Linked DNA regions of Macaca mulatta. The protein of the gene in region 2 purifies or fractionates together with the protein of the main gene of each other region. This does not show direct contact. Links are inferred from orthologs where the notes say so. Each region holds a gene or a part of one and is shown on either strand. Other genes may lie near its edges.

Evidence for each region. The genes of interacting proteins can lie anywhere in the genome.
Region 1: the proteins of AP3M1 (region 2) and AP3S2 purify together in Homo sapiens (co-immunoprecipitation; 3 studies listed by BioGRID and IntAct, counting the BioPlex papers as one, with this or other methods). This does not show direct contact. The link is inferred for Macaca mulatta from reciprocal best matches to the Homo sapiens genes AP3M1 and AP3S2.

Annotation. Positions count from the first base shown.
Region 1 is NC_133412.1:79,707,219-79,711,431, forward strand, and holds the start of AP3S2 (AP-3 complex subunit sigma-2), read right to left. Parts: upstream 2,842-4,213; 5' UTR 2,795-2,841; coding exon 2,726-2,794; exon of another isoform or gene 1,799-2,725; intron 1-1,798. UniProt on the Homo sapiens protein: Part of the AP-3 complex, an adaptor-related complex which is not clathrin-associated. The complex is associated with the Golgi region as well as more peripheral structures.
Region 2 is NC_133414.1:75,486,878-75,490,526, forward strand, and holds part of AP3M1 (AP-3 complex subunit mu-1), read left to right. Parts: intron 1-219; coding exon 220-495; intron 496-1,791; coding exon 1,792-1,963; intron 1,964-3,649. UniProt on the Homo sapiens protein: Part of the AP-3 complex, an adaptor-related complex which is not clathrin-associated. The complex is associated with the Golgi region as well as more peripheral structures.

The sequences.
Region 1 (4,213 bases), on a different chromosome or scaffold from region 2:
TGAATGAATGAAAACTTGCTAATCATTGGTCACTACAAATTTGAGTAAATCAATCACTATTTTCCTCATTTCCATTTAAAGAACAAAGCTCACAGATGACAGGATGCTGTAAGGAACTAAGTCTATATACTGCAAAATACGAAACATGCTAAACATCAGCACTTTTTAAAACTGAAAACACATCTTTTGAACTAAAGCCTTTTATCTGACTCTGGGGGAAGTGGCAGCAGTGGGAAATGGTATGAAATGATGAGGCTACCTAATTTCTAGTTCAGTAAAAAGGTAAACTACCAATTGCTTACATGCCTCAGTGATTTTAATAACCCCTCATATCATTTTAGTACTCTGTAGTTTTCAAGGTACTTTCATCTATGAGCTCATGAGGTCTTATAAAAATCCTATGATCTCCAAAGATACATGAATGGTCAATAAGCACATGAAAAGATGCTCAACATCATTAGTCATTTTGGAAATTAAAATCAAAACCACAATGGGCCAGGTGAAGTGGCTCACACCTGTAATCCCAGCACTTTGGGAGGCCAAGACGGGCAGATTACTTGAGGTCAGCAGTTCAAGACCAGCCTGGCCAATATAGCAAAACCCCATCTCTACTAAAAATACAAAAATTAGCCAGGCATGGTGGCGGGCACCTGTAATCCCAGCAACTTAGGAGGCTGAGGCAGGAGAATCACTTGAACCCGGGAGGCAGAGGTTGCAGTGAGCCAAGATCACGCCACTGCAGCCTGGGAGACAGAGCAAGACTCAGTCTCGGGGGGAAAAAAAAAGCCACAATGAGATACCACTTTATACCCACTAAAATGTCTTTAATCAAAAAATAAATAAATAACGAATGGCAGGGATGTGAAGAAACTGGAATCCTTATACATTGCTGATGGAAATGTAAAATGGTGCAGCCACTTGGAAAGTTTGTCAAATAGTTTGCAGTTTCTCACAATGTTCACCATAGTTACCATATGATCCAGCAATTCTACTCCTAGGTATATAACCAAGAGAAATGAAGTCATAAGTCCACATAAAAACTTGCACAAGAATGTTCATAGCAGCATTAGTTAGAAGAGCCAAAAAGTAGAAACATCAGCTTATAAACAGACAATCAAAATATGGCATACCCATATAATGCAATATTATTCAGCAATAAAAGAAATGAAGATCAGATACATGCTACAACATGGATGAATCTTGAAAACATTATATTACATGAAACATGGCAGACACAAAAAAACCCACTTATTTATGATTTCATTTATATGCAACAGAATAGGCAAATTCCATCTGCCACTCTGGAGTAGGCAAATTCCATCTGCCACTCTGGAATAGTCAAATTCCATTTGCCATTCTAGAACAGGCGAATTTAGAGGGAAAGACTCTCTAGGGCTGGGACAGTCATGGAGAAATAGGCAATGAGTGCTAATGGGCAGAGGTTTCTTTTTGGGGTGATGAAAATGATCTAAAATTGATTGTGGTGATGGTTGTGCAGCTTCTGTGAACGTGCTAAAAAACACTGAACTGTCCCCTTTAAATAGGTAAACTGGGGCCGGACACAGTGGCTCATGCCTGTAATCCCAGCACTTTGGGAGGCTGAGTCTGGTGGATTGCTTGAGCCCAGGAGTTCAAGACCAGCCTGGGCAACATAGAAAGACTTCATCTGTGTAAGTAAATAACGTAAAATAAATAAGTAAATAGTATGGCATGTTAGTTTTATCTCTAGTTTTATCTAGTTTTACCTAGAAAAAAACTAGGGGGGAATCTGTATACACACAAATGCAAATACAAATAGTTATGTTGAATACTCATATTTTTACCTCGATGTAATCTACTTAATTAAATGTAATCTAGCTTTAAAAATCTTATGAAGGAGTAAAATTAGTTTTTCATTTCTAATTGACAAAAGACAGAATAATTTAAGTCTGAAAAGGGTTTATTAACTTGTCAATAGACGCAAGAGTAGAAAAGGTGGAGCTGAAGCCGGAATACGTTTTCTGACTCCCCTCTTCAGTTTGGCCAGTACCCCAATTATGTAACATTTTGAAACCCCGCCATGAAGAAATAAAATATTGGAAGATAGGAAGCAAATACTGATGTTTATGTGTTTGCAAAGGAACGTGTTGGGAAAATTCAAATTTACGTAATCACTTATTGAGCCCTTATGCAGCAGCATTTATAATTTCTCATCATGTTTCCACTTTTAAACTAAAATTTTCTTCAACCCTACAGAGTGAAGGGTATCTAGTCTCTGGAAAGTCCCAGCCAACACTGAAGCAAAATAATTCCAAATAAAGAACTTTTCCAGACCCTTTGGCTATAACAAAAACTTTCAGAAACTTAATATTTCTTCCTCATGAAACTGTGGTCAACAACCAAAAAGATGACAGAACGTGACTTCAATCATTCAAGTTCTCAACGAGGCACACTCCCCACTGTCGCTTCTATCTCGTTCCCAGAGACCCAAGGGAAAATGTCACAAAATGGCACAGAAATGCAGGATCCAGAAAAGGGTCAGAAAGAGCGAGGGCAGTAGGGCGGGAGACAGAATGCCTGGCACCGGCCTGCGCCCAGGTTAAGTGCTTAAGAAGGGTGAGGGTCATGCACGGTGCAGGAGCCCCAGGTGACCAAGGAGCGGTGCCCCCGGGCGCCCAGAGGCCAAAGAGGAAAGAAGAGATAGTGGGCACCCTCAACGGGCGTGGTGAAGCCGGGCCGCACTCACGAAACGCTGGTAGAAGCGGACTAGCCGCGGCTTTCCATGGTTGTTGAAAACCAGAATCGCCTGAATCATCTTTGCCGGCCACGGTTCTCTCAGCACCGGCTACTCCCAGAAATCGCCTCCTTCCGCCACAACACGGCCACTTCCGGTTGGTGCGCTGCTGAGAGCGGCACTCGGAAACTTGGCCCCGGCACCCAGGAGCCCTAGCACCCAAGGGTCCGGCCTCTTTGACGCCCTGGAGAAGGCGGCGGGGTCCCCTGCGGACTGCAGGTGCGGTTGCCCAGAAGCGTGGTCACCTCGACCAGCGTCGGTTGGCCGGTCAGGATGCGAATCCGGATCTATGTCCCTCGCCAAGACCGACAGCTGGCCCCAGAAGCCGAAACTTGACCACCAGCCGGGTTGCCAACACAGAGAGGCGGCGCGAGCTTGCCTTTCTCACCGTCCGCTCCAAAACCTGTACTCCCGCCTTCCCCTTAGCGCTCGCAGAACGTTCCGCGGAGTGGAGACGCCGGTCGTTCGGCCGTTCCTCGGTTAAGGAACGTTTCGTTCATTTTTATTTTTCAGTATTACAATGCTGCAGTGAATTACGTAGCTGTCTCTCCGTGCATATGGGCTGTTCCTCCATGGTAGACGGTGAATGGTGGAATTAAAGAATTTTTAGTGCATTTCCTTTAAAATCCCAAATCAATCAAGTTCTTATTTTTGTTTGTTCTTTTAATGACCCAGTGTGGGTAAGGTGGAGCACGTTCGTATACTGCAGATGGAGCAGCGGATACAGCTGCAAATCGATCCAGAGGACTTTTTGGCAATATGGATCAGAAGCCTTTAAAATATGTAACAGTCCAGGCCCGGGGGCTCACGCCTGTAATCCCAGCATTTTGGGAGGCTGAGGCGGGTGGCTCACTTGAGGTCAGCAGTTCGAGACCAGCCTGGCCAACATGGTGAAACCCCGCCTCTACTAAATTACAAAAATTAGCCGGGTGTGGTGGCGCGCGACTGTAGTCCCAGATATTTGGGACTCAGATACCCAGATACATAGTCCCGGGACTGAGGCAGGAGAATGGCTTGAACCTGGAAGGCGGAGGTTGCAGTGAGCCGAGATTGCATCACTGCACTCCAGCCTGGGCGACAGAGCGAGACTCTGTCTCCAAAAACAAAACTCTCTCTCTCTCTCTCTCTCTATATATATATATGTATTTATTTAACATTAGACTCAGCGTTTCCAGCTCTGGAATTTATAATAAAATGATTGTGGATGTGTGAAAAGATTTAGCCTCAGGAACATACATTTCTGCCAGAGTATCTTTAGAACAGTAAAAAAAAAAAAAAAAAAAAAGAAGAAAAAAATATATATCGCAGCAGTGTTATTACAGGGGAAAACGGGAAAAAAATTATTACAAAAATGAGAAATTGGTTAAGTGCATTGTTCTACATGAATATGAGAAATATTAAATAGCTAATAAAAATCATGCTGGGAAAGATTTATGATAC
Region 2 (3,649 bases):
GGGTTTTTTTTTTTTTTTTTTTTGTAAAATGATGTTGGATTTTGTCAAATGCAATTTCTGCACCTTTTGAAATGATTGTTTTAGTTCTAGTTGTATATCATATTGATTGATTTTTGCATTCTTGGAATAAGTCCCACTTGGTCAAAGTGTATAATCTTTTTGTATATGTTAAATGATATTTAATGTATAATAAATTTAAACCTATCTTTGCCCCAACAGAAAATGATCCACAGTCTATTTCTCATAAACTGTTCCGGTGACATATTTCTAGAGAAGCACTGGAAGAGCGTTGTGAGCCAGTCTGTCTGTGATTATTTCTTTGAAGCTCAAGAGAAAGCTGCTGATGTTGAAAATGTACCACCTGTCATTTCAACACCTCACCACTACCTCATCAGTATCTACCGGGATAAGCTCTTCTTTGTATCTGTCATACAGACTGAAGTGCCACCTCTCTTTGTAATTGAGTTCCTACATCGAGTTGCTGACACTTTTCAGGTTGGTTATCTATCATACCTTTCTAACTTAAATGACCCAAGTTAGCTGGAGGTGAGACATGATTATATTATTTAATTACCCAGGTTTTGATGTTTACTGTCTGTTTCTCTCTGTTTAAGCATAAATTCATAAATCCTTTTCTATGTGGTGTACAGTTGCACACATGGCTGCTGTATTTACTATTTTTTATATGTATTACAAATTACAGTTGGCTCTCCATATACATGGGTTCTGCATCCATGAATTCACCGAACCTTACATGGCAAATATTTGAACAAAAAAATTGAACTGAACATGTACAAACTTCTTCTCCTCATTATTACTTAAACAATGCAGTATAACAAATAGTTACATAGCATTTACATTGTGTTAGATATTACAAGTAATCTAGAGGTGATTTAAAGTATATAGGGCGATGTGTATAAGTGATGTGCAAATACTATGCCATTTTATGTCAGGGACTTGAGAATTGTGAGTTTTGGTATCCACAGGGGATCCTGGAACTAATTCCCCACAACTACCAAGGGATGACTGCATATCATCAGGAAACAATAATGCCCTCCACATACAGTTCTCTCAATGGTCTCAAGATTTTCATTGGTTATGAACTCTTCTGTATTTACGTTTTATTTTTTTCTCTTGTCTTGCTGAATATACCAAACAATTTAAGCTTATCTATGTGTATGTTGGAATAGTTAATCAGGGTGAATGAAGTTTATAGCTCAAATTCCAATTTAATGTCTCAATACTTTCTAGTATAATGTGTAATAGGAATTAAATTCAGGCTAGAAATATCAAGAAAATACTGAGGAATAATGTTAGGACTATAGAGGGGTTTTTTTGTTTGCTTGTTTTTTTTTGTTTGAGACAGAGTCTCACTCTGTCGCCTAGGCTGGAGTGCAGTGGCGTGCTCTTGGCTCACCGCAACCTCCGCCTCCCGGGTTCAAGCAATCCTCCCTCCTCAGCCTCCCAAGTAGCTGGGACCACAGGTGTGCACCATCACACTCAGCTAATTTTTGTATTTTTAGTAGAGACAGGGTTTCACCATGTTGGCCAGGCTGGTCTTGAACTCCTGACCTCAAGTGATCCACCCGCCTCAGCCTCCCAAATTGCTGGGATTGCAGGCATAAGCCACCGTGCCCGGCCTATGGAGGGTTTTTTCCCTGGCTCTGTTTTACATATGTTCAGCATCTTAAGCAATGAATAATGCTATTGTAAGTTTGTTCTTCAGAACAAAAAGTATTTAGCAAGCCTTTCTTTGTGCCTTCCATTGTGTGATATTGTGTATTTTGTCAGGACTACTTTGGTGAGTGTTCAGAGGCTGCGATTAAGGATAATGTGGTCATAGTATATGAACTCTTAGAAGAAATGTTAGACAATGGATTTCCACTGGCTACCGAATCTAACATTTTGAAAGAATTAATTAAACCGCCAACAATTCTACGGTCTGTTGTCAACTCTATTACAGGTAAGATGAAAACATACTTTACTGGTAACTGAGCAATTAAAACTTTGTAAACAACTCATTATTGTTCATGATCTGATGTATTATTAAGGTAGTACAATTCAGCCATAATTAAAGTTACTGGTAAAGTTAAAATGGATGTATTGTATATTTATTTTCATAGAAAAAGGCTAGACCTTAAGTGATAAAGAACTTTTGGTTATTACTCTTTTTTTTTTTCTAAAATACCACAACAATATTATTACCATTATTTAACACTAAATACTAAGACTGAATAAATTGTTCCAGTTAGTCCTAAAGAAGCCAGTATATGAGCCCACTTAGAAGAGAATTTAGTCCATTTACAGACTGGCATTTTAATGTTTAAAATAACATAACTGGTATGCTGCTACTCCACAATTACTAGAGAATAGAAAATTTAAGACTCTTAACCACACAGTACTACAATATCCTCCGAGTCTTTGTTTTTATGCATGCAGAAGATGTATTAAGAAAAAATAGAAAAATAGTTTACTCATGAGATCGCATGCATTGTGGGCCTGTACTTATATTGTAAGCTTCCAGTTGGGTTTAATTCTTGAGTGTAGCTAGAAATTAGGCACACCCAGATGCCAATGTTCTTTCGAAAGCTTTAAAGTCTTTTAGAGAAAGATTCCTATGAAATGTTATATGCCACTCCAACTCCACTGTCCACCACTGTAAACCCCTCTCCAGTGCCTTGACCTAAAAATGAGGTGAGAGAGGCCTGTAAGAAAAAGATCATTCAGCAGCTCTTTATTCATCCTCTGTGTAAGGGTGAATGTTGAGAGAAATTCAAAGAAAGATAAGATGGCATGTCTGTGCTCCTAAAACTTATACTCTGAATGGGACGTTGGAAAAAAAATTAAAATAAGTAAATAACTGTATAAGACTTTAAAAAGCAATTCCATACTTCACAGATAATGTAATAGCATTGGAAAATACACATGATATAATGTTAAATTGAAAAGTCAGCACAAAACTGAAAAAATTATTCTTATATATAAATATTCACTCAGACCAAAAAGTTCTAAATATTTACAATGATTATACCCAGCTAAAGAAATACAGATTATCTTTATTTTTGTTTTATACTTTTTAATTTTCCAAAATAAACATGTATTTTATAGTCAGAGAAAAGTTACTAAAATATAGAATGCAAAACATAACAGATTCATAAGGCAGTATATTACAAAGTTCAAGAGAATGGTTCCATTAATGAAGTATTCCCTCCTGAACTGTGGTGGGCGGCCACCTTGGAGAATCAGTAGAATTCAGGAAGTGAGGGAGGAGTAAGAGCATTCTCCATAGGTGGAACTGTATGAGAAAAAAACACACATGAAAGAGAAAAACCTAAAGTTTTATTAATGCAGAAGCAGAACTGTTTTTCAGTTGAGAAGTTAGAGATCAGATTAAAAAGTAGAGAAAGTCCTTCAAAGCTAGGCTAAATATTTAGCTTTTATCATAAAGTCAGTGATCAACCATTGAAGGTTTTTGAGCAGGAAGATAACATGATTGTAGGTTGCAGGTAGGAACACCAATCATAAGTAGACTGCAAAATTATAGATACAGTATGATTGCGACTGTATTTTAAAGTGCAATTAAAAACCAAAAATTATTACAATAGAAAAAAATGCAACCTTCTGGTGGTGGAAATGTTTAAAGAAATAT